Rattus norvegicus: one gene and its partners. The protein of the gene in region 1 purifies or fractionates together with the protein of each later gene. This does not show direct contact. Links are inferred from orthologs where the notes say so. Each region holds a gene or a part of one and is shown in the gene's direction. Other genes may lie near its edges.

Region 1 (4,100 bases):
TGCTTGTTACTTTAGTTACTTTCCTCCTGCTGTGATAAAACATCATGACCAAGGCAACCTGTAAAATAAAGCATTTAATTGAACTTAGATACAGAGGGTCTGAGTCTATAATGGCCACAGAGATGCCCTGAGCACTCACATCTCAAACCCAAGTCGAGGCAGAGAGACACTAGGAATAGCTTGAATCTTTTCAAACCTGCCCATAGGGATACACTTCCTCCAGCGAGGCCTCACCTAAGTCCTCCCTGGTGATGAGGACAGAGAGTACAGGGAGGGGGAATTCAAACAACCACATCTGCCTGGCTTAGTTGCCAACCTAGCACAGAGGCAGACACTCTACCGCAGAGCTGTGTCTGCAGCCCCTTTTATTTTTCTTTTGACACAGGCGCTTGCTGAAGCTTCCCAGCCTAGCCTTGAATTCACTCTGGCCTAATTCACACAACTCTGTCTCAGCCTCCAGCGGAGCATTAGACCTGAGACTTGCCCAAGCTCAGACTTCCAAGACGTCCACAAAATGTTCAGATTTCTCGGTCGTGTCGTGAGATGACCGTGTTTAATGAAGCCAAGATAATCCACCGCTCATTAGTATTAAGATGAGTTCAGGATAAGGATGGGGTGGGGGGTGGAGGGGTGGGACTAGAAGCCAGTCGTACTTAAGGGGCTTGTCTCTGTTCAGTGATCTAATGGCTTTGAGTTCTGAGTGAAGGAAGTAAATGAACTTTGTTTCCCTGTGCATTTCTGTATCCTGTGCATTGAGAGAGCAAAACACGACTTTAAGTGGACGCGGCTTTGTACTTCAGCCCTGCTGACCTCTACAGCTTCTGACACATGAGCCTACCGAATATCATTCGCAGAGGATTTAAACAAGTTATGTGTGAAAGTAATAATCCTTTCATTGGAAAGGCAAGACAACACAGATGCACTTGGCTTCTCCTTATTTGGAGCCTGTGGTCCAGGCTTTCCCTGGACTCTCCGGAGCCCGCCTGGTCACCCGACAGGTCGGGCAAGTAGAGACTGCCCTTTAGGGCGTCCTGAATTGTCTCCGGCTCTCCCCACGTCACGGGCAGCACCCACTACGTCCTTGCTGTGAATCGTGGGTGCTGGGAGGAACGGCGTGGGCCCTCGGCGCCCCGGGGCAGGGTCCCCCACCCAGGCGTGCGGGCGGCTGCGCCCGCGCCTGCCCTTGTTTGGCCGCGCGGCCTCGGGGGTGGGGAGCCTGGGAGGTGGGGGCGGTGCCGTCCGCGTCAGCGGCGCCTGCGGTGACGGCGACGTGCGGCCCGCGCCACTGCTACCCGCGGACGCCGAGGACCCCCGGAGCTCATGGCCCAGGCGAAGATCAGCGCCAAGGCCCACGAGGGCCGCTTCTGCCGCTCGTCCTCCATGGCCGACCGCTCCAGCCGCCTGCTGGAGAGCCTGGACCAGCTGGAGCTCAGGTGAGGGCGGCGGGGGCGCGCGCGGGCGGGGGCGCGCTCCGGGTGGGCTCCCCTCCCCCGGCCGGCAGCGCGGCGAGCCAGTGCGGCTTGCAGAACTTCCAGATCCTTCGGCGCGGTCCCCCTCTGCCTTTAACTTTCCCGCTTCCAGGGGGCAGGCAGCAGGTTGGTGTGGTCCTTCCCCCCTCCCCTGTAATAAGTTTCTTTGCCCCAGATCACTTCATAGTAACACAAGAGTAAGTTTTAAAAAAGAAAAAACCCAGGACTGCCCCTCCGGGGGACCAGCGAGAATCAGACTCAAAAGGGGCCGCGCGAGATACCGAAGTTGGATACCATCCTTCCTTCTCTTAACCACGTGCAGTGCCCTCTGCAGTCTGTCCGTGTATGTTGTGCGTTTAGAAGACACAGCTGACACTTGGGAAGTGCCAGTCGCAGGTCTGAAAACACCAAAGGCAGGCGTCACACTCTCCCTGAGATTCTATCACGGGGACGGCCTTGTAGTAAAATTTCTAAATCGTGAATACTACTAGCAGATGCTGTGAATACTTGGCTTTAGCAACATGAGCCCCGGTGTATCTGGTGGGAACGTTAAGGTCTCCAAAGTTGTGCAAGTTTTGATTGTGTGCAGGCGCTGTTCCATGAAAATCGTATGGAGACACCCTGACACATGTTGTTCCCTAGTTTTCTCCAGGTTCTGCATAAGCAGAAATATGAGCCAAAATCTTAAGAGTCTTGTGCGTCTTCATCTCTCTCCGTGCATCCACCAAACACAGTATGTTTGCACAGAAAAATACAAGCAGTGTTTGTTACAATTGAGGTGTTCGCTATTTTTACTATTAGGAGAAAAGAACCAGAAGGTGAGAAACTTTTAGTCTCTGGAGTAGCAACCACAAGAGAAGCCTGAACCCTATGTCCCCCAAACCGGAGGGAGACAAAGGGACCTATGCTGAGAAGGGAGGGGGTCAGCATTAAAGCCCCTCTGAAAAGAGAGGAGTGTTTCCCTCTGTGAGGTAGGCTCCGAACTTTGACAGTACATTCTCAACTGCTCCGATTTTTTTTTTCCTTGAAGGGTTCAGGAAGTTGTCACTCTTCCTCAAGCTGAGTCATTGTTCAGAAACTTGAGTTAATCCCTGCCGGCCATGTGCTGAGTCCCTCCTCTCCTCCTGGGGGCCTCTTGAAAGTCTGGGGGTTGCTTAGTGTTACATTCTAATGTCTGACTACGTCAAAGGAATCTCAATTCCCGGCCCATAGGAGATTAAATTATGTTACTTATTAACAGTTGCGCTGAAGGGGGTTTCTTACTGTGTGTTTAGTGGTTCAAGGCCTTTACCAGTAAGCGCAGATTTCTGTAAGTCTTGTTTCTCTTTAAAAATGTGATGCGCACTTAGAAGTAAGTTTGTCAGAAGGTGAAAGAAATGGGGGGAGGGATGATGCTGCCTTTTAAGGTTTGGGGGCCCTTTTTAGAAGCCACCTGGACAGTGTCACAGAGCAGGACACTTTAAAATTAGGCTTTTCAAACATGGGTAGAGAAAGATGACGCTCCTGTGACGTCCCTCCAACTTTCTTAGTGCCCATGTGTGGGAAAAGCAGTGGATGGGGTAGTGTAAGTCATTGGTTGGTAGCCAGTGTGCATCTTCCATTCAGTTGAACTGGTTCTGTGGACTGAAACCACATCAAAGGCTTTATGTCCTGCAGGATGAACTGACCTCGGGGGGTGTCCGAAATGCTTTAAAATGTTTTATAAATCGGTAACAGATGCCGTTTGTTTCTAATGGCTTATGATATTAACGACACCATCTTACATTAAAACAATATTTTATTACTACGCCTCCTCTCCTGCAGTGCTTTCTCTAAAAAGATAATCCCGTCCTTTCCTGATTTACATGACCAGCTCTATGGGGATTCTGCGCTTGTCGAGGCCGAACGCCTTACTCTTTAGTGGTTATCCTAGTTTATAAATCATCCATGTTAGCATCAGTCTGTAGGCTAGGCCTCGTGTCTCTGGGGGAGTTACCGTTATCTGTATTGCGCAGATGAGAAGTTGAAGCTCAGATATACACAACATGCTTCAGTCCAGAGCAGAGCACTTCACATGTGAACACGGGAAGACCGGCTGCTCAGGTCAACACCATGTGTCCTGGTCTTGAATATCACTTTTCAAACTGTCCGTCTGACCTATGAATGAATATGATTTTACTAAAAGAGAAGAAAATCAATTTAGCGTTTGAGTCAGTAAACATTGAAGACCTGGAGCATGTCTGTTATTGAGTAGCTTCTAGGAGCTGTGGGTCAGGGGCTGGGCTTTGGACATTGGCCAAGGAGGTATAATGGTTGGTAGGACTGGGAGATCGGCTGCTTACACATCTCCCAAAACCGATCATGTGGTGAGCAGCTCCTTCCCAGTTCACTCAGCCAGCAGGGGCCAGGGAAACGGGCCACCCCCTGCTTTGGTTTCTGACTGTTTAAGGTTCCTGTTAGCATGTGCCAGTGTTCCAGGACCCACAAAGCAAGTTGACACCATATTTAATTTGTCGTTAACAGTCTGTAATTTAGAAGGAACGCTTTTCGTGCACACTGTCATTTGAATCTTATAAAACCCCCGAGGGAGGAGGGCGTTATTATCTTTTAGCAGTGAGAACGATGGGCTGTGATGGGACTTGGTGGGAAGGA
Region 2 (4,174 bases), on another chromosome or scaffold:
TATACTTTTGATTTCTATTCACCCATTTTGAAGTCAGGCTGGCCTCACATGGGAGTTCCTCCTATAGCAGCATCCTGGCACGGGGATTACAGGAACAAGTCACTGTGCCAGGATAGGCTCTTCATATCTCGGTATCTTTAAAGACACGTTCTCTCCAAGTGACTGGTTCGGGACACCCTCTCTGATAAGCTAATGGGTTTCCTAGCCCCAAATCCATCTTGGGGGAAGGAGGACTCAACTGGTTCAGCTTTCACAGGGTCAGTACGGTCAGGGAAATCAAAACACACACAGCTATACCATCATGGGATGGCTAAGGTTGTTTTTCTCAGGGGTGCCTAAGGCAAGGGTTATCAGACTCTCATGCTGCAGGGCTGCCAGAAAGTGAGTGTCAACAGTTGTCCACTAAACAAGATGATTAATCATCCCTTTCAAGAACACCTCCTTTGTACCTTGTCTGTCTACGGCACTTTCACAAATGCTGGATAATGTCAACTTAACCATAATACAGCGACCATTCCCATTATACAGATGAGCACACTGAGACCAGAATGGCTACTTTACCAGCACAAAGTCACACAGCCAGAAAGTGCTAGGATTACTGTCAGCCTTTCATGCACTGTCTTCCAGGCAATTCCCTGCAAGAACCACCACTGACTCCTCCAGCTTCCAATATCAGAAGCTCTGTCCTCTTCCTCACTCAGCAGTGTCCTTGACCGTATCATCCCAGGCTTACGAAGCCAAAGCAAAAAACATCTATGTCAAAGTATTTGGAAATATTTACGAAGCACCTAGTGGATCTTAAAAAGATTTCACTCTCTGCAAAGGAAGTGACACCAAGAACGCCAAGAAACCAGCTAATTCCAATAGGAATTAGTAGGAAGTAAAATAACCCAGCCCGACTGGGGCAATCCCAAGGCAGACCAGCCTCACCTCGCTTTACAGTAACGGCCTGTACGGGAAGACAAAGGGTTACGGGCAGAAGAGGGCGGGGTGCGTATTTTTATCCCTGGGTTGAAGCAGGAAGACTTGGAGTTACACATCAGGTAGCTACCATAAGTCACGCATCAGAACCGCCCAGCGGCGATCACCTGGGGAAAGGGTGCGGCCATCCGGGAGGGCCGCCTCTGTAGCCCGCCCCCTCGCGTCATCAGGGAGAGCGGGTCGCGATTGGCTGGATCCGCCGCGAAGGCGGGACCTCGGCAGCCGGCGCGCGCGTCCGAGGAAGGCGTTGACCAGGGGAGAGAGAGAAGGGGCGTGGCCCCGCGCGGAAAGCCGTTGGCCGCCGGGTCCCACCCCAGATGAGCTGCGTCACGCAGCGGGCTGCAGCGATTGGCCGGTGTGGGGCGACGCATCGGGAGGGGCGGAAGGTTCTGGAGGGCTGGCGGGATCTGGAAGCTTCCGCCGGACGGGTATATAGAGTCCGGGACGGGGCAGCAGCGGAGCCGGAGGCGGCGACAGCTGGGCGGCGGTGGCCATGGGCAAGGACTACTACCAGACGCTGGGCCTGGCCCGCGGCGCGTCCGACGACGAGATCAAGCGGGCCTACCGCCGCCAGGCGCTGCGCTACCACCCGGACAAGAACAAGGAGCCCGGCGCCGAGGAGAAGTTCAAGGAGATCGCCGAGGCCTACGACGTGCTCAGCGACCCGCGCAAGCGCGAGATTTTCGACCGCTATGGAGAGGAAGGTACGCGTGCGCGCGGCCCGGGTGACCCGCCGTTTGACAGGCGAGGAAACCGAGGCACTCGGGGCCTCTCTGAGGCTTCGGCGGGGGACAGATGGTCCGGGGATCCCGCGGCGGCGCTGCCTCCTCCACCTTCTCTCTAATCGGCGGCCTCAGACGGGAGGAGGAGCTCTGGGTGCGCCGCTAGCACAGAAGCTTCTAGCACGTCTGCCGCAGCCCCTCCCGGCCGGCCGCCTGCACAGCGCCGGAATGCTGCAGACGGGGGCGGGGGGCGGCGGTCGCGATGGGAATGAAAATTGCCCAAGTGTCGATTCCCTTTCCCAGCCGCAAGCTCGGTGCTTACCCAAAGTTGAACCTTTCTGGTACTAGTGCGTAGGAACTTCTTTGTAAGGTGTTACAGCATAGCTGGGAGGATGGAGCAGTCACGTCAACCTGGTGGCACCAACATCTAGAGACCTTTCTACTGAATTGTTGTCACGAAGTTAAACGGGGTGGTTTGTTTCCTGTTCCTGTTGCCATTGGGAGTTAAAGACTTGAGATTCGTCCTTGACTTAAGTGGAAAAGCTTTTAAAAATATACACGTAACTCCTTCCCCTCACCCCCTCCCACACACACACTATAGTTTCTGCTGCTTTTTTACTAAGACCAAAACTTGTTGAGAGCAGTGTACTGGGGCTCACACCTCCACTTGGGAGGCTGAATTAGGAACGTTGTGAATTTGCTGCAAATCTGAGCTACAGGGTAAGCTGTTTCCAAAGGAAGCAGACGTTGTGACAATCCCCCCCACCCCGGGGGTGTCTGAGTCAGAAAGATTGCCTTGAGGCTAATCTAGACTACACAGCAAGTTCTTGTGCTACTTAGAATTGACAGTAATACATGCAAGGGAACAAGATGTTACCATTTACTTGAGACAGGACCTCACTGTTGCTGGAACTTTTATTTTTTAATTTATTTGAGTGTGTACCTCCGTGCATCATCACACGCTTCTAGAGAAGGCATTGAAGTTCCCGGAACTAGAGTTAGACCATGGTCTGCTGCTTTGTGGGTGTTGGAAATTGAACATAGTTCCTTTGCAAGTGCTCTGAGCCATTTCTCCAGCATCTCATGTTAGAGCTCTGGCTTTCTGGAACTTGCAGAGATCAGTCTGCTCCTGTCTTGAGAGCTAGGGTTCCAAGATCTTTGTTTCAAGGGCTTTGTGTTTTATCTGTGTGTAGAAGTGTTGGGATGAAGGGTCCTGACTCTCCTGCAGTAACCCTGAGTTGCCGTTTTGTTTTCCAGGCCTGAAGGGTGGTGGCCCCAGTGGCGGGAGCAGTGGTGGTGCTAATGGTACCTCTTTCAGCTACACATTCCATGGAGACCCTCATGCTATGTTTGCTGAGTTCTTCGGTGGCAGGAATCCCTTTGATACCTTTTTTGGGCAGCGCAACGGGGAAGAAGGCATGGACATCGATGACCCGTTCTCTAGCTTTCCGATGGGTATGGGCGGCTTCACCAATATGAACTTTGGACGTTCCCGCCCTACTCAAGAGCCCACCCGGAAGAAGCAAGATCCCCCAGTCACCCACGACCTTCGGGTCTCCCTTGAAGAGATCTACAGCGGCTGTACCAAGAAGATGAAAATCTCCCACAAGCGGCTGAACCCTGATGGAAAGAGCATTCGAAATGAAGATAAGATCCTGACCATCGAAGTGAAGAGGGGCTGGAAAGAAGGGACCAAAATCACCTTTCCCAAGGAAGGGGACCAGACCTCGAACAACATTCCAGCTGACATCGTCTTTGTTTTAAAGGACAAGCCACACAATATCTTCAAGAGAGATGGTTCTGATGTCATTTATCCAGCCAGGATTAGCCTTCGGGAGGTAAGGTGCTGGGTGTGGGGAGGAGGAATCATGAAGAGAGATGGGTACTGAGGATAACAGGCTGTGGGGGTGGCACTCTGTTTCTGACAGCATGGGGAGCTTTGTAGTGGGGTCTCGGAAGGCCTGGTCTGGTGGACCTGACCCTTCTCTGGATGGTTCTGGTCTGGAGGGGTCAAGCTTCCTAAGCCAGCTGCTACCTGACACTGTCTTTTTGCTTCCCTAGGCTCTCTGTGGTTGCACTGTGAATGTTCCTACTCTGGACGGCAGGACCATTCCTGTTGTATTCAAAGATGTCATCAGGCCTGGCATGCGGAGGAAAGTTCCTGGAGAAGGCCTCCCCCTCCCCAAAACACCTGAGAAACGTGGAGACCTTGTTATCGAATTTGAAGTCATCTTCCCTGATAGGATCCCCATCTCATCCAGAACCATCCTGGAGCAGGTTCTTCCCATATAGCTGCCTGCATTCCTCAAGGACTGAGCCAGGGACCTTTCCAGAGCTGCAGATTTCCAGACCGTTCCACTGGTTGCATACTGCGGGAGGGCCCAGGGAGGGCTTTTGCTCTGCCGAATGTTTTCCACAGAATATATTACAATCTTTCAAAGTCGCGCACTAGACTACAGTGGTTTTTCGAG
Region 3 (4,207 bases), on another chromosome or scaffold:
AAAAGATCTTCTATGCCATTTTAACAGGGCAGGACTTATTCTGGAGGGCACGAAGGCCACTGGGTGTCTTCCAGTCTGGAAGTGGCTGTTCAGATTTGTGGTTCAAAAACATATTTGTAAGCATACAGTAATGGACCAGAAGAAGAACCACTTTCAAAGGGCTTTACTTTGTCAGGTAACTATAGCAGGACTTTCACTGACATTTTATCTCTGAGGCTCTGGGACAGAAAAGAGTCCCAAACTGAGGTAAATCAACACATCATCACATTGGGATGTAGCTGGAAACTTCTAGCCAACCCACTTTGGGAATCTGGTTACAGAGTTGGTTCCGATTAGCTTTGGGTAATTTGTTGAATAGAATTTGTACCAACCTGAATCAGACCCTTTGAAGCTTCCTCTTTAGGTTGCTGTATATGTAGCAAATGCTGTTTATGTACCAAACAGTGCTGTATATGACTAAGTTCAGTATATGCTTACATATACATGTACAATATATGTATGGGGTGGGGTGGGGTGTCTTGCCATTAGCCCAGGATTACCTGGAGCTCACTATTTAACCCAGGTTGGCCTCCACGGCTCCACACTTCTACCTCAGCCTCCAGAGTGCTCAACTTACAGGTTCAGGACACTAAGATCAAAAAATCTTTTTCTCAGAGATCCACATTATTACAGCTACTCTTTATAGGTAGAAAGTCAATGAAGAAATGGGGCATTGCGCTAAAGAAGCTGTTCCAAATCACACTTTGCCAAAGAAAACCTGCATAAGGTACATGCAGAACAACTATTTTGACTCAGATACTCTAAAATTATACTAGTGGCTTTTGAACTGGGTTTCTGGCAGGTACCTGATGCCTGCTGAATTCTAATAGTATATATAATAGCAAGTACTTTGCAAACAGCGAGTTTTATTATTCATGCTTTAGGTTTTGATAAAAGTGTCTTAAGAGTCATCTTCTGCCAGTGGAAAAAATGTATAAAAAGGCTCGTTTATCTTTAAGATAGTTTCAACCAGGGGCCTAGCATATCTTGCTCCCTGCCCCATGTGCTGTATTCCTTCCTTTAGACTGGAGCAAATTACTCTTCACCAGTCAAACTTATGAGTCAACTGCCCTTGGGCGTTTCTGCACTCTGCCAGACATGGCCGGTGTACCCAAACCCTTTCCACATGAGTCCACAAAACAAGGTTTTTCTCTGGACCCAATATCATTCCCAAAACAGTATCCTGCCTAAAAGGTAGCAGAGAAGGCTGAACCACTCCTGGACCCACCCCTCCTCTCGGCAGCTGCCAATCGTTTTGCTCTGTGGTGCACTCGAAGCCTCGGATTGGACTCGCAGAGACCGGGCGCGGGAGCAGAGCGCAGGGGTGGAGCGCGAAGTCTTGTCCATCACGTGTGGCCGCGGGGTCTCCCCGCCTTCACCGCGCGCCCCGCGGCGCCGAGGGGGCGGAGCCCGGGACCCGCCGCGCCTGCGTGGTGTGCGTTCCCGGGAGCAGCTGCTGCTGTCGCCGCCGCTGCTGCTAACGCCTTCGCCGCCGCTACCTCCGCGTTCGGGAGTAGAATTCGGAATCCCTGCGCCCGGCTAACAATGAAGCAGAGTTCCAACGTGCCGGCTTTCCTCAGCAAGCTGTGGACGCTTGTAGAGGAAACCCACACTAACGAGTTCATCACCTGGAGTCAGGTACGTTCGGGGACGCGGTGGCCTCGGGTCTCCCTTGTCGAACCGGCTCGGCTCGGCTCGACTCGGCTCGACTCGACTGGACTGGGTTGGGCTGGGCTGGGCTCAGCCGCTCCCGCGGCCTGCGGCGGCGCGCGGCCTCCCCACCACGCGTGGACCCCCGGCTTTGTGTGCGCGGCGAGCCGGGCCCGGCAGGCTCCGTTCGCCTCGGGCCGCGCGCCGTGGGGGAGGGGCGCCCTGGTAACGGTCCCGCCGGCCCCGGGAGCTCGGAACCGGCCCCAGCCGCGCGTTCTGCACACTCATCCTCGGCCGTCTGCTCGCCGCGGGGCACGGAGGTTGCGGAACCCTAGACTGGCGAGCTGGCTAGGGGGCGAGCACCGGGCTTATCTAAAGAAATCACCTCCGCGGTGATTACTTGTCCCCTGGTCTGGGATCTTTTATGATGGTAAAGGGAAAATGTGCGGACTCAGACTGCTCTTCCCGTGAGCTTTCTAGTTTTATTCATGTAGTTCATTTATGTAGTTCATTTATGTAGTTTTAACATAGAAATTTCCCAGTTATTGTTTGGAGGCTGGGTCATTTGCTTAATCTTTTTTAAAAAAATTTAGTAGTAAAAGTGCCTGTAGATTATGCTTAGTAACTTAGCGGCAGGGAGTTAAAAACGAGTCGTTAAATTTCAAAGAATAGTTGCTGGCAGAGTGGTAGGTGGTTGCCTTGATCAGTTAGATCCAGATTCTCTTTATAAATAAAGATGATCTTAATCAAGTCCGGTATCTTGCGTGGTCTAAGTTGTGGGTTAGATGGATGTGTTGCCTAGGTGACCCAAGGACCCTCCCCTCCCCCGCCCAGTTCCACACAAAGATTCTTTGCAGAGTGATTATTTACATCACTTGTGCCTTTGCTTTACTAGACGCGCAATTCTTGGATTGTTCCAATCACTTCATGAAGGGGATCGGCTCCTCTTACTGGAGTTGATCACTTATTCGGGGTATTTTCATGTTCACGGTTTTTGAGATGAGTAAGTGGGAAATACCTGGCTATGTGTCAAATAAATGTTATCTTCCCGCGTTTCTTTTGTGTTCTTTCTGTTGTTAAAACTAGTTTTCAGCCTTGCGTGCTTTTCATAGGTAACAGCAATAGAATATACCTGACATTTGGACAATTATCTCGCTGAATTTTGCTGAGTATTCGTGCCAATTTTTAAAAATTTCTTTCTAGGGTTTAATTTCCCTGAGTATTGTCACACGGGTGCCCCACCCCCTGCTGGTTGTGTAGACTAAGCAGTTGACTGACTAATTTGATACATTGGTACAAAGAAGTGAAAATAAGAAAGGCAGCTACCAGCATGAACTTAAAATAAACAGACTGCTCATGCTTTTCGTCAGTCAGAAGGATTAAAGGTTGACAAGGCACGATCAGTCCGGACTGCTTCTCAGCTCTCTTTTAACATTAGAAACCGGACTGAAGTATATTCTGTCCCAACCAAGCTGAGTTTATTGAACTTATTGAGCTTGCAAAAGGCTGTTTATTTGTACTGTCTAAAAGTTCCACACGAATGTACTGGTAATTGTTTCTAATTAAACAGATTTGTATAAGCGGCCTGATAACTTCAAATTAGCCAAAACATTTTAATAACTTTGTTTTTGATCAGTACAGACTCTGGAGAATTTAAACTAGTGCATAAGTGTGAAATCTTATTAATTGCAGACGAAAAATCTACTTAATTACTTTTACTTATCGTATTAAGTCTCAGTTTATATTTTCATCTGCCCATATCCAGTACACCAATAAGAGAGTCAAAGAGTAAACTCAATGGGGTATTGATTCTAGAGACATAATTGGTGTCTTAATGTTTGAGTCACTAAAACTGTTAGAAAATGTAAATGGGTTTGATTGGAATGGAGTAACAGGTGTCCTAAGATAGCTATGAATGTGGTCGAAACCATTTGTAGATGACAAAGTCATATTGTAATGAGATACCAGATGGAATAGTATTTGGAATGCCAGTACTGAAAGGTACAATTTTAAGTTGATGTTGATAGAAAACCAAAATGTGTCCCCCTCCCCCATTTTTTGGCTCTTTTTTAAAAGATTTTATTTTTAATCGTGTCCTTGTCTATTGTGTGCATATGCATATTTGAATGAGGGCAGAAGAGGGATCCAGACTTCCAATTCTTGGACTTTGAGCTGTTATGAGTGGTAGGAACCAATCTGGGGTTCTCTCTGAGCAGTGACTCTCTCTAAACTCCTGAACTTTCTCTCCAGCCCTACTGTGATCTTCTAAAAGTTTCTGTTTGTGTGCCTAGCTTCCTTTAAATTTGTGTTGAATTATAGAGGTGAATTTTAGCATTTACACTGACTCAGTGGCTATCACTTTAAGGCCTTTTAAAAGCAGAAGCTCTAGGGACTAATCAAACTTTTACGAAACCCCTATCCTCTACGGTGGTAAAAAATCATACACTCCTTTAGCTTGAGTCTAAACCAAGGAGAGAAACCTCACCTGTATTCTGAAAAGCTTGACTTAATAGTCCTA
Region 4 (4,054 bases), on another chromosome or scaffold:
GTCGGTAAATGCCTGTAATTCCAACAAGTGGGAGGCAGAGGGAGGAAGATAGGGTTTGAAGTAATATGGATTACCTAGTGAGATTCTGTTAAAAACAAACAAACAAACAAACAAACAAAAACCCCTCAGGCATGGTTACTTATAATTCCAGGACTCGGAGGCAAAAGGATGGCTGTGAGCTTGAGCTCAGTTTGGGCTACATAGTGAGTTCCAAGCAAGCCAGGCTACAGAGTGTGAGCCCCCACCTCAACCTCTCACAATCCCTCAGGCACACTCCAAATTTGGAACATGAAGACAAGCACATCAGAGTTTCAAAGTCATTCTTGGCTACATAGAGTTCAAGACCAGTGTGTGGGTTACATGAAATCCTGTCTCTAAAAACTAATTAGTTAACTAACTAGCTACTTAGCTAATTAAAAGCACATTTGTGGACTGTGGCTTTAGATCTTTGGAAGAAAAAAAAAAGAGAGAGAGAGAAGTGAGAAAAAGAAAAGAACAGGCTGGGAGGTTGTGGTGCTCACCTTTAATCCCAGCACTCCAGAGGCAGAGGCAGGCAGATCTGGGTGAGCTGGAGGCCAGCCTGGTCTACAGAACCAGTTCCAGGATAGCCAAGGGTACACAGAGAAACCTTGTCTGGCAAAACAAACTAAGTCAAATCATAAAAATTTAAAAACAAGGTACAGGAACTTTCCCCTCCCACCTTAAGCTGTTCTATGTTCTCCTGGATTGAACTGGGGCATTCATAGAGATTATTCCGTTTTCTTCAGCTCTGAGAGGAAATCAAGAATCAAAAGAAGCGAAGTCATTTGTTCAACTGGGACAAGTAGTGTAAGAAGTCTGTAAGTGTAGGGCAATCGTTGAACTATTAAGGAGAGCTTTATTCTAGTATGATTTATCTTCAATCAACGTGTTCACAAAAGACTAATTCCTTTTTCACTTAAGACAAGGTCTCATATAGTCCAGGTTGGCCTTGCTCTTAACTGAGTATGACTTTGAACTCCATATCCTCCAAATGCCTCCTCTTCCTAAATTCCTGGGATTACAACCGTGCTTGCTGTCTCCGAAATTTAGTTCTCTAAATTACTTCAACACTCGGTCACCAAGAGAAAATGGCAGAAACCCAGCCTACTCTATGCTTTAGCTTATGATCTGAATTTGTTTATTTATGCCTAGGAAGGCAGCGGGACTTGCAGCAGGAGCTGAGCAATGTTTCGGCACTCGGCTGCAGTTCCTTGAACGATTGCTTGGGCGCTCTTCCTTTGATGTCTGGGCGTTCGTGTGTTCGATGATCTTTTGCAGCGTCTTCTAGGTTGATGTCTCCAGAGCGGCGGCGGCGGTGCCAGGTCCTGGACTGAGTTATCCGGGAGACCCCGGGCTCTGGCCGCTTTCTTCCGCTGGTCGGTCGAGCGGGCCCCTCGCTTCCTTCAGCCTCTCCCCGCCTTCCGTCCGTGGCTCCGTGCGCTCGTTGGCCTTCCGGCCAAGCTCTCACTCGCCTCGCAGGTAGGCCCGGGAGGAGCCTGGGAGGCCCGGTCCGGCATCCTTCCGCCGAAGGCAGGAGGAGACCTTGGCGCCGGCCGGTGGGCGAGCGCGCGGCCCGTCGGGGCGCGCGTCGTGAAGGGGGTTGCGCCTGGGGGCGCGGCCGGAGGGCTGCCCGGAACTGAGGGAGAAGCCGGAAGGAGGGAGAGATGCTGAAGCTATTGGCCGGGTTCTGTAGAGAGGGGATGTCTGGTCCTGGACTCGTGTCGTCACCCCTAGATTGTGGGAGCTTGGCTCTCTTAGACCCAATTCTCTCTCTCCTTTCCTGCAACTCATGTTCCGGACGTCATTCCTCAGTTGCACTGGTGACCCACGCTGAGGCTAGCCTCGGAGTGCCCTTTGAGTTGGTGGAGGCTCTTGAAACTAGGCCCTCCAGCTCCTTGGAACGAAATGTCAGGTTCTATTCTTTTGGAGTAGGGAAACTGAGGCTGAGGTATGGGACCTGACTTTTCCCTATGACCCCGACAGAGCATTAAATATGCTGTTTGTTTTTGTCTTTAACAGTTGACCCTTCTCTTTCTCCCATTTTACTGGTCACTTTTAACTTAACAGTGATTTCTCATTTGACTACTTGGAACTCTTCTTTCTTAAGAAACATTTATTGTGTTACTGGAGGCTTCAGACATTAAGGGAGCAAGGAATATTTTTTGACTGGATTTGTCTTTTCGAAATTTGTATTTTAGCAAAAGTAGTAAGGATAGTTTGTTTTTGTTTTCTCATAAATAATTTTGTTTACTTCCACTTTACTTCTGATTAATACTGATTCCACTCTTCAGCTTACTCTAACTCTTTTCTGCTATGGGATTAAGTACTTAGTGCAAGATGGAAGATGGTTAAGACTTTGAACTTAGGTTCTTGGGAAGGTCTTTTCTAGGAGGTATCTAGAGGGAGTCTAAGGAGACTCTTTTGAAACTTTTTTTTTTTGTATTTGGTTAGTAGTTTAGTCATTTTATTAAGAGTTCAAAAGTCTGTGTAGAAACTATTCAAACTTAGTTAAATTGAAAATGAATCTTTTTGTGAATTTCACTGTTTCTCTTTTCTTTCTCAAGGTCTTAAGGTCAAGTGTTTTTGTTAATTCTGTTTGATCAAGTGTCATGATCCTAGTCATTCTAGGTTGGATAAGTTTCCACAGTATGTAAAATTCATAGGAGAATGACTTTAAGGTCGTAAGAAATTCTGTTTCTACACAGTTTTAAGATGCTTTATGAACTTTGGAAAGATGATAGAATTTTACATTGTTTCTCTAATTTTTTCTTTAATGTATGTGTAAGGTTAGTGAGGCTTATTATTCTTTCTCTTCTTTAGTAGTGCTGGGAATTTTGAACCCATGGCCACATACACATGCTCTGTCACAGAGATCTACCCCTGAGATTGGCAAGATTTAAATGAAGGTGATAGATTGAATGATTGGTTGATTGCCTGTTTGTGTGTGTGTCTGCACATGGGCATGCCATACATGCATGTGTTTGTCAGAGGACAATTTTCAGGAGTCTGTTCTCTCCTCCTAGTCTATAGTGAACTCAGGTTATCTGGCTTGACAGTAATCCCATTTTATTTTCTGAGCCATTTTGATGGTCCATGAAAATCAAATCTTTTGATCATAAGCAATTTCTTAGTTATAAGGACCTTGGTACTTTTTATAAGTGTGTAGATTCTTGATTGGGTAATTAGGCCAAAATTATATCTTCTTTGAAGAGAACTTTTATTATGGAAAAAATATACCAAAGCAAAGAAAGTAGAGGTAGAAGTAACATTGCCTGCTGTGACTTTATAGTTGTAAGTGTGTCTTAGTGACTCCCAATGAGTGACAGATAAGAAATGGTGATTGCTGTATATGTCATGAAGAAAAAGGTTAGAAACATTTTGAATGTTTCTGTAAGAAAGAACCAGCAGAAGTTTAAGTTGAATTGAGACAGATAAACTTGGTGGTGGGTGAGGTTATAGGAATGAGACTCTTAAGCTTCTCTACTTTTCTTTATAATTCATACAAGTTTTGCTTGATTAATTTTCGTATATTTTTTTGGTTTGTGTATGGTTGTTTTGGAGTTTTTGAGGCAGAGTGGACCTCTTGTGTTCCAGGCCAGCTTTAAATCGACTGTGCAGCTGAGGATGACCTTGAGCTCTTTGATCTTCCTGCCCCTACCTCAAGTACTGGATTACCAGTGTGAACCACTACTTGATGCTATATCTTGGGAATTACCAAAGTCAATTTGGGCCGTCTCCTGGCATTTCAGAAATGTTCACATTATGACTGAATCATTCTGTATTTTGCTAAGATGGTTCCTGTGGATAAGTAAGAGATATAAGCTTCAAATAGCTGTGGCTGTACATACTTTAAATTCCAACACCCCAGAGACCGATGTAGGAAGATTGTGAGTTCTAGGTCAGCCAGAGTTAACATCCTGAGACTGCCTCAAGAAACAAAAACAACAACAAAAATGAACACAAGACAAAAAAAAGACGAAAGCCTCTGAATGTTTTCTGGATTGTGGCTGGACCAGAGTTACTGAAATAAACT
Region 5 (3,283 bases), on another chromosome or scaffold:
AAAGATGTGAGCCACCACACCTGGCTTGTTGAAGAAATTTTTAATCTAAAGTTTTCATGCAGGCCAAATGTCCTATGAGCCTATCTGTGCTTTCAGATTTATTATACAAAAGAAACGTGACACTGCAGGTTTGAAGCAGATCACTATGGTTACCGAGGTTTATTGTGTTTCATTCGTGTTTAGGTGAGAACAGCTGACAGGTTTATTGTTGAAAAAAGCTGACCTAGTTGAGTTGTTTAAGAGAAAAGGAAATCAGAGCATCACCTTAACAGAAAGGAACATTAGTAGTTTATTTTGATTGCTATTTTTTCCCCTTAGCCTGAGGCAAAATAAGAAAGTGGGCTTAATAACTGAAAAGCTTAACTTACTTAGGTTCCCAGAAATTAAAGTGAGCTGTAAGAAAAATTAGAATTCATTTTCTTGTTGAAAATTTTTATTTTCAGGCTGTTGAGTGTGCTTCATGGTATGACAACTGTGTAGGTGCTACAGGACACAATACACTTTGTTTTTATTAAGTTGCCGGGGACTTACTCCACTTTGGATTAAGTATTGAGCTGTTCTTATCATGCCCTTGAGCATTCACTGCTCTAGCTGAGTGGGGCCTCTTGACATTTCTCTAGAATTTGAGATGAAAAGCTATAAAACATCTGAGGATCATGGAGCCCTGTCCTGTAGTACAGAGAAGAAATTAGTTAACATCATGGATGGTCCTTAGTCAGATAACAGTAAGTATTTAGTTGAGTAAAATGGTAGATAAGGTAAACCAGTTAATTGTCTTAAGAGGAAAACCTTCTGTTTGACATGTGGAGACTGTAATAGTAACCAGCTCAGGGGTGACAGTAGGTTAAAGGCATGAGCTACACAAGGTGTAAGAAGTCGAGTCAGGAGTCTGTGAGCAGAGCTCAGCTGTCAGTTGTGATTGGCACTGCTGAGTAGAAGAATGGCCACACAGCCTCTCCATGCCTGATCAGCCCCACCTCCCACTCTGTGACGTATTCTTTGACCATGTTTCGTGGCTGCTCACTGCTTCTAAGGCAGGGGCCGTTCTTTGCTTTACTCAGCAGCCATAGGTAAGTCAGCTGCTCTAGGAAGTGCCTGCTGTGTGCAGCCCCACCTGCCCTCTCTTCCCTTCACCTGTCTGTTTTAACCTCAGCAGTAACACGGAAGATGATGCAGCCCTCCAGACCAACAAGCAGATTTACTCCCAGCTTTTGAGAGCAACTGCCAACAGAAACTCCACTCTGTTGGAGAGAATTGAAGTTGTCATCTGTCTGCTGGAGCAGCTTGCATCTGGTAGCAGTGGATCGAGTGGCAGTGCTGTCCCCTGACCTGAAGTTGTCTCGGAGGACTGTCTTGTCAGTGCCTTCCCATCCTGGAGCTGTTCTGTCCACTCGGTGCTGAGACTTATTAAATATAAGGAGATGCCATTTAATCAGGTCCACAGTGGGTACTCGCTTCCCGTGGCAGGCAGAGGATGTGGGGTGGTTTGGTTTCTTCCTGTAAAGGTGAGAAACCATAATGGAATCAAAAGCTTTCTGAATGTATTTCCTCGAGAAGTACTTGGTTCCTTAGTGATAACAGACCTCCTGTGATGTGCTTAGACTTGGAGATATTCTTGAAGGATATTAAAACACTTGGACATAAGATGAGATTATTTTAGATAAAATGTTACTCTGGCCAAGAGAACTCTTATTCAAGTGATTTCACGTTCAAATGGCGTGTAGAAACAGTACACATCTGTGTTTCCTTGTGAGTGACAGAAGTGTACCCTTTCCAAACTGTTGCACAGGAGGTTTCGAAGACTGAAAGTTGTGCAGGTCTCCTTTCAGTGCATGTTCTGAAAGGCCTCACTTTTCTTTGACTGTATGTGACATTGATAAAGACTAGGTACTATCACTTTCTCATTTTAAACTTGAAACTGTGAATAAGGTAAGAGAACTATTTTGAATAAATAAGCTATTTATTTAAAATACCTTGGTAGTTCCCACTTGCATTCTTCACACTGCTGTGATTTGATCTGCTTGCTTATGATTTCAAAACTTTACAAAGTACATAGATCCTAATGTTCAGGGCAAAGGTCTCTCACACATTCATGCTCCTTGAACATTCTGCTGTGCCTTGCTGCTCTGGAGATCTTGTCCAAAGCCTACTGCATGTGGGGCTGTAAGGCTGTAACTAATAGTTTGAAGGAGGTGCAGCATTTGCATCAGGCAGACTCTTCTGCTTGGGTGATACTCTGGTGTCTGGCCACTATTGCATCCCCTCCCGCACCAGCCCCATTTGCAGGCGTTTCTGTCACTGGAGCAAGCAGGTCTCCATTGTAGCAAGGCAGATTCTCTCACTATTTGTCTAGTTCCTTGTTTGGTTTACACTGTCATTGGAGCAAATTTGCATCTGTTTACAAGAATTAATCATTGCAGCCCTTAAAGCTTTGGTTAAACTGCAAAGCTTTGAGCCTGCTCATCAGTCCCATTTCAGGACTGCTGTGTCCTTTGCCTTGCATCGAGTGTACACAGTAACAGCCCTTTCTCCACGGGAGAACCCTCTGGCTGCTTCCACTGAAACATAGTACCTCTGGAGCAGATGAGCTCAACAGGATTTCCCCTGCTTCCCTAGAAACAAGCTGGGGTGTTAAGACTACTTGTCTTCAAGCCCCTCCCCTTAGCTGAATGGTGGAAAATGGATTTTAAGCAAGGAAGTAGAAATCCTAGCTCTTTCCCTTGTCATAGCAATAACATGAAAATTTCTGCAGGAGAAATAAAAGATACTTTTCAAATGTGTTGTAATAACTTGTGTTGGTTTTAATTAAAGTTTCCTGAAGTAAATGTGTTTTAGCTGTTCCTTTAGAAGACTCTGGCCTGATTACTCGGGTTTCTGAACCTTTTTCAGTTAGTTTCATTATTCATATATCATCATCATATATGACATTGACTCTTGTATGTTAAGAATTTAAGCCAGCGGGTGGTGGGAGGCAAAGGCAGGCAGATCTCTTGAGTTCAAGGCCAGCCTGGTCTAGAAAGAGAGTTCCAGGACAGCCAGGGTTACACAGAAAAGCACTGTCTTGAAAAAACAAAAATTCTTAAGCCATATTGTGTGGAAGTTAAAGGGTTAGCACCTGAGGTTGGGGATTTAGCTCAGTGGTAGAAGGCTTGCCTAGCAAGCGCAAGGCCCTGGGTTTGGTCCCCAGCTCAAAAAAAAAAAAAAAAAAGGTTAGTGCCTGTCCTAGAGTAGGGACATTGCAGTTAGACAGCAGTTAGACAGCTAGCTTCCAGAGCTCTGTTGT
Region 6 (2,341 bases), on another chromosome or scaffold:
TTTTTAGTTAAAATAAGATAAACAGTAAAGAGCTTTAGGCATGTATGGGTATCTAGTGAGTTATGGTTTTAACAGATTTTCACATGCTTGACCCAAAAGTGTTCACCAGTTAAGTCTGAGTTCATTGAATAGTTATTTTTCTTTATATAGTTTTGAAATTATACATTAACTATGTGTAATTTTTTTGTATCATCAACAAAACCATGAATTTAAAATGCTTGTGTTTTTTGACTGTAGAATATTGTTTAAAGACAAAGACCGGAACTGGGATGACATAGAAAACAAGCTAAGAGCTGAAAGCGAAGTCCCGATTGTGAAAACCTCCAGCATGGTATGGTGGTTTTCAAGATTCAAACATTTCATCAGCGTGGCTTCATTTGTTGGGGAAAGCATAGTTTTGAATATTTGTTAGTTTACATTCTAAAAGACTGTATAAATGCATAGATTCGGTAGTGTTTCATCCAGTGGTGTTTAAAGTATCTCTTGGTTCAAGGCCATAGAGAGCATTAAGGAGGATCGTGTGTTGATTAACTACTGTGATGTATCTTGTTCATATCATAGCTCTACATTATAAAGAAGCACCTTTAACTTTAGAACTTAATGTTAATTGACATATCATTTCTATTTTAAAAGCACAGTTTTATCAGATTTTTCTCCTTATGTTGATGGTTTCACTTTATATACTTTTCAAAAAACAAAAAAACTCAAAGGCACAGTTTTAAACTATTGCAGAGTTGATCAGAACAGATGTTTCAAAAACTGTTCTTTCCTTATTAGTATATTGTCTTGAAATGTTATTGTTGTTGTTGAAAGGCGTCATTATTAAAGATTATAAGTTGGGTCTTGCTTCCTGGGTGTCTTCTGTGTAGCTACTAATGCAGTGCCATAGAGACAGTGAGCTGCATTACTTGTAGTCTGAGAATGTTGTAACGTAGTAAGCTAATCTGGGTGTCTTTTCCTGCAGGAGATTTCTTCTATTTTACAGGAGCTGAAAAGAGTGGAAAAACAGTTGCAAGGTAAATTTACTTCTAAATTAGGTAATGATGCTTGCAGATAGGGTGTTCTGGTAGACGCCTATAATTCCAGCATTCAGGAGTCAGAGACAGAAGGATTGAGGTTGAGACCAGCTCAGTGTATTCCATTTCTGAAAATATATTTCTTATATTCTTAGTTATTGAAGCAGTATTTAACTAAATATATCAACCAGTACTTATAACAGTATAGAGTTGAATATATCTCAGTTATTCATAAAAGGAAAGTTTTATAGCTCTATATAAAGGACTGGAGATGTGTCTCAGTCCTCGAGTATCTGCCTAGCGTGTGTGAGGCCCTGGCTTCTTTCCTAGTACCATCAAAGTGACTAGATAGACAGTTCCCGGATAAAGTCTGTGTTGTTTCACATTTGATGCGGAGTGTTATATGCAGAATGGTCTCCACCTCACCGTGGAGCTGGACCTCTTGGTCCTCCTCCCTCCACCTCTGAGACCATCACCCCTGGCATAAAGAGAACATATTGTGAACATTTGTTGGTATTTGTATTTTATAAAATCTGGCTGTTTAACACATAACCAGTGTTTTCAGTACCCCTCTGTGATAGTAAAAGCAAGTTCAGAACTCTCTTGGCCTGCTTTCCCTTCCAGTCACTGTTCACTGTCACCTAAAGTGCCGATAGGGACTGTGGGGACCTAGGAGAACCTCAGGTCTGTACAGTCTACAGTGTAGACTTAACCACTGGTTATTGAATCAGGTTAAGTAAGATCTAGCTTAGTTAACTAGAGGTTACTAGCTTACTTTAGCTAAAGTCCCTTCTAATGATAAGCAGTATTCATATCCACTTCTTACTGAAAACAGAACTACATCTTTTTATCTTTTTATCTCCTTCAGTGATAAATGCCATGATTGACCCAGATGGAACTTTGGAGGCTCTTAACAACATGGGATTTCCCAATGCTATCCTGCCATCTCCACCAAAACAGAAGTCCAGTCCTGTTAACAACCACAGCAGCCCTAGTCAGACGCCAGCACTTTGCCCAGCAGAAGCTAGGGCCCTGCACCCTGCTGCAGCAGCAGCAGCAGCCGCCGCCTCCACTGAGTTTGAGAATGCTGAATCTGAGGCTGATTTCAGCATCCATTTCAATAGGTTTAATCCTGATGGGGAAGAAGAAGATGTTACAGTACACGAATGACGTTCCCTGGTTTGTTAGAGACATTACCCATGGAGTGACTAGGGGTATTGGAAGCAGCATGATGTTCACATACAAAACAAGAGAGCTTGGTCAGCAACAATCTTGTTATCTTTGTCTTCTTGATTTATTTATTTATTTTTACCTCTAATGTATCA
Region 7 (2,624 bases), on another chromosome or scaffold:
CTGTTTTCCTAATCACGCGTGTCTCTTCACCAGGCCTGAAGGGTGGAGCTGGCGGCACTGACGGACAAGGAGGCACCTTCAGGTACACGTTCCACGGAGATCCGCATGCGACCTTTGCAGCCTTCTTTGGAGGTGCCAACCCCTTTGAAATTTTCTTCGGGAGACGGATGGGTGGAGGCCGAGACTCTGAAGAGATGGAGATAGATGGCGACCCCTTCAGTGCCTTTGGCTTTAGCATGAATGGATATCCAAGAGACAGGAATTCCGTGGGGCCCTCCCGTCTCAAGCAAGACCCTCCCATTATTCATGAACTCAAAGTCTCGCTTGAAGAAATATACAGTGGCTGCACCAAACGGATGAAGATTTCTCGAAAGAGATTAAACCCTGATGGAAGGAGTTACAGATCTGAGGATAAAATTCTCACCATTGAAATAAAGAAAGGGTGGAAAGAAGGCACCAAAATTACTTTCCCAAGGGAAGGTGATGAAACACCAAATAGCATCCCAGCAGACATTGTTTTTATTATTAAAGACAAAGAACATCCCAAATTTAAGAGAGATGGATCGAATATAGTTTATACTGCTAAAATTAGTTTACGGGAGGTAAGTCGGTAAGATCTGTGACTCTAAGGCCAGAGATGAGCACTGCTGAGTACCTTAGGGGGCTGTGGGCAGGAGCTGCCTTCTGTCCTGCTCTGCATCTTCTTCCTCATAATGACTCCCTAGGAAGAGCTGCTATTACTCTCAAGGATGCCATCAGAGGCTCGAGGTTTAGTTACTGATCTTAACCATTTAAATGCCAGTTTTTCAGTGTAAGCTTGAGTAGATACTTCATGGCCAGTGTTGGGTTAACTCTAGTTTTAGGTTGTGGTCTGAGATCTGCATTGCCAATCCCCCACTGAAGTCCACTAGTACATTGGTTCTGAAGTGAGTGGTTTGGAGTCCAATTTATATAACAGGCATTAAACCATAGCAAGCATGGACTTAGACATGGTGCACACTACCACCCCTTGGTAAAGTCCCTGAGCTCTCTGCACCACTTCTCAAAGGGGTCATGCCCCTGTGTGCATTCTTAACCGTCTCAGTATACTCCTCCCACAGAGTCCAAACTGTGTGAAGGTAGAGTCTGGCTCTTACCCCAGACACATTTGCCATTCCTGAGTTTGCTGTCATTGCTTTGTTTATTTCCTCTTGTGTCAGCCACACTGTGTGATGGCTCCTGGCTTTCCCTTTGTCCCAGTGCTGCTACAGAGCGGTCCTTGTTTAGTGTAGGCACTTTGTAGTCCCAGGCGAAGCAGATGATCTGTGCCATTTCTGTGACAGCGACCTCTGTCCACCTTCGTGCTCTGCTTTGCCCTGCTCTTCCTGCTGATCTCTGTATTTCTGAGTTCCTTGTGCATTTCTGAGCGTGAAGTCTTGGCTCATGGTTCCTGTGTGGTTCAGCTGGGACTGTATGGCAGCCAGTAGATAGCCCAAGGTCTTCTGGAATAGGTTTTGCTCCTGCTTTGTTCAGTTCAGTTCTAAAGTCCTCCCGCTCCTCCTGTTCAGTTTTCTGCACCCTGACTATTCCCATCCTAGGCCAGTGTGGAAGATGCCCTTCACTTCTCCTTTTTCCCTCTGTCCTCTCTTGGCTGTCTCTGGTAACATCTCGGATTATGCTCCTCTTGAACAGATTTTTTAGAATAGAAAAGGTTTAATAACTATCGTAATCCTTTTGAAGTTAAAATTTTACCTTCGTGTTATTACCCTTTATTACCTAGCACAATCTTATATTTTTTAGTTTGAAAGTTTATTAATAACTTCATTTTATTTGGTCCACTTTAGGCATTGTGTGGCTGCTCAATTAATGTGCCAACAATGGATGGAAGAAACATACCTATGTCAGTCACTGACATCGTGAAGCCTGGGATGAGGAGGAGAATTATTGGCTATGGGCTGCCATTTCCAAAAAACCCAGACCAACGTGGCGACCTACTGATAGAATTTGATGTGTCCTTCCCAGACGTCATTTCTGCAGCATCCAAAGAGATCCTTAGGAAACATCTCCCTGCCTCATAGAATGAGAAGAACCTTGCTATCCATATTTTGATAAGACACTGAAAATATAAAAGTACTGGCAGTTTGACTGATGTGAATTCTGTATAAAGATGTGTAGACTCTTCTGAGGGCTCATTAAATTGCATGAATAGAGACGGTTCAAATAGGCAAAAGTGGATTTTTACAGTAGAGATGAAGGTCATTCACTGTATTATATTTCATTTCTCCCAAATCAGAAATTTTCAGTATTTCATTTATAAGTAAAAGTTGGTTTTGTGGTCTATAGATACACTTCTAGTAAAGTACTAGATCATCCAAGTACACACTCTCTCTCTCTCTCTCTCTCTCTCTCTCTCTCTCTCTCTCTTTCTCTGTGTGTGTGTGTGTGTGTGTGTATCTTTAAATGATCAGTGTGATAGGCTGTCTTAATAGAAATTAAAATCCTTAACTGTATGTGACATATGTGGAGGAGAATAAAAGCCAAAGTCATCAGAAATGCAGTCTGGGTCACATCCAGAACCGCTGTGTTGGGCTGGCACCAGAATGCATTGATGCTTTACTATTGTGACCTCTCAAGGATGCTGTAGC

What was found.
Region 2: the proteins of Bag2 (region 1) and Dnajb1 purify together in Homo sapiens (affinity purification with mass spectrometry; 4 studies listed by BioGRID and IntAct, with this or other methods). This does not show direct contact. The link is inferred for Rattus norvegicus from reciprocal best matches to the Homo sapiens genes BAG2 and DNAJB1.
Region 3: the proteins of Bag2 (region 1) and Hsf2 purify together in Homo sapiens (affinity purification with mass spectrometry; 4 studies listed by BioGRID and IntAct, with this or other methods). This does not show direct contact. The link is inferred for Rattus norvegicus from reciprocal best matches to the Homo sapiens genes BAG2 and HSF2.
Region 4: the proteins of Bag2 (region 1) and Ambra1 purify together in Homo sapiens (affinity purification with mass spectrometry; 3 studies listed by BioGRID, with this or other methods). This does not show direct contact. The link is inferred for Rattus norvegicus from reciprocal best matches to the Homo sapiens genes BAG2 and AMBRA1.
Region 5: the proteins of Bag2 (region 1) and Edrf1 purify together in Homo sapiens (affinity purification with mass spectrometry; 3 studies listed by BioGRID and IntAct, with this or other methods). This does not show direct contact. The link is inferred for Rattus norvegicus from reciprocal best matches to the Homo sapiens genes BAG2 and EDRF1.
Region 6: the proteins of Bag2 (region 1) and Cep170 purify together in Homo sapiens (affinity purification with mass spectrometry; 3 studies listed by BioGRID and IntAct, with this or other methods). This does not show direct contact. The link is inferred for Rattus norvegicus from reciprocal best matches to the Homo sapiens genes BAG2 and CEP170.
Region 7: the proteins of Bag2 (region 1) and Dnajb4 purify together in Homo sapiens (affinity purification with mass spectrometry; 4 studies listed by BioGRID and IntAct, with this or other methods). This does not show direct contact. The link is inferred for Rattus norvegicus from reciprocal best matches to the Homo sapiens genes BAG2 and DNAJB4.

The regions. Positions count from the first base shown.
Region 1 is NC_086027.1:43,473,838-43,477,937, reverse strand, and holds the start of Bag2 (BAG family molecular chaperone regulator 2), read left to right. Parts: upstream 1-1,300; 5' UTR 1,301-1,320; coding exon 1,321-1,433; intron 1,434-4,100. UniProt on the Homo sapiens protein: Co-chaperone for HSP70 and HSC70 chaperone proteins. Acts as a nucleotide-exchange factor (NEF) promoting the release of ADP from the HSP70 and HSC70 proteins thereby triggering client/substrate protein release.
Region 2 is NC_086037.1:41,428,342-41,432,515, reverse strand, and holds the start of Dnajb1 (dnaJ homolog subfamily B member 1), read left to right. Parts: upstream 1-1,374; 5' UTR 1,375-1,474; coding exon 1,475-1,685; coding exon of another isoform or gene 1,686-1,857; intron 1,858-2,960; coding exon 2,961-3,541; intron 3,542-3,764; coding exon 3,765-3,995; 3' UTR 3,996-4,174. UniProt on the Homo sapiens protein: Interacts with HSP70 and can stimulate its ATPase activity. Stimulates the association between HSC70 and HIP. Negatively regulates heat shock-induced HSF1 transcriptional activity during the attenuation and recovery phase period of the heat shock response.
Region 3 is NC_086038.1:37,364,894-37,369,100, forward strand, and holds the start of Hsf2 (heat shock factor protein 2), read left to right. Parts: upstream 1-1,407; 5' UTR 1,408-1,584; coding exon 1,585-1,677; intron 1,678-2,013; exon of another isoform or gene 2,014-2,156; intron 2,157-4,207. UniProt on the Homo sapiens protein: DNA-binding protein that specifically binds heat shock promoter elements (HSE) and activates transcription. In higher eukaryotes, HSF is unable to bind to the HSE unless the cells are heat shocked.
Region 4 is NC_086021.1:98,155,372-98,159,425, forward strand, and holds the start of Ambra1 (activating molecule in BECN1-regulated autophagy protein 1), read left to right. Parts: upstream 1-1,254; 5' UTR 1,255-1,500; intron 1,501-1,811; exon of another isoform or gene 1,812-1,969; intron 1,970-4,054. UniProt on the Homo sapiens protein: Substrate-recognition component of a DCX (DDB1-CUL4-X-box) E3 ubiquitin-protein ligase complex involved in cell cycle control and autophagy.
Region 5 is NC_086019.1:197,905,911-197,909,193, forward strand, and holds the end of Edrf1 (erythroid differentiation-related factor 1), read left to right. Parts: intron 1-1,153; coding exon 1,154-1,328; 3' UTR 1,329-2,783; downstream 2,784-3,283. UniProt on the Homo sapiens protein: Transcription factor involved in erythroid differentiation. Involved in transcriptional activation of the globin gene.
Region 6 is NC_086031.1:91,203,650-91,205,990, reverse strand, and holds part of Cep170 (centrosomal protein of 170 kDa), read left to right. Parts: intron 1-237; coding exon 238-331; intron 332-964; coding exon 965-1,016; intron 1,017-1,884; coding exon 1,885-2,186; 3' UTR 2,187-2,341.
Region 7 is NC_086020.1:243,789,796-243,792,419, reverse strand, and holds the end of Dnajb4 (dnaJ homolog subfamily B member 4), read left to right. Parts: intron 1-33; coding exon 34-602; intron 603-1,823; coding exon 1,824-2,057; 3' UTR 2,058-2,124; downstream 2,125-2,624. UniProt on the Homo sapiens protein: Probable chaperone. Stimulates ATP hydrolysis and the folding of unfolded proteins mediated by HSPA1A/B (in vitro).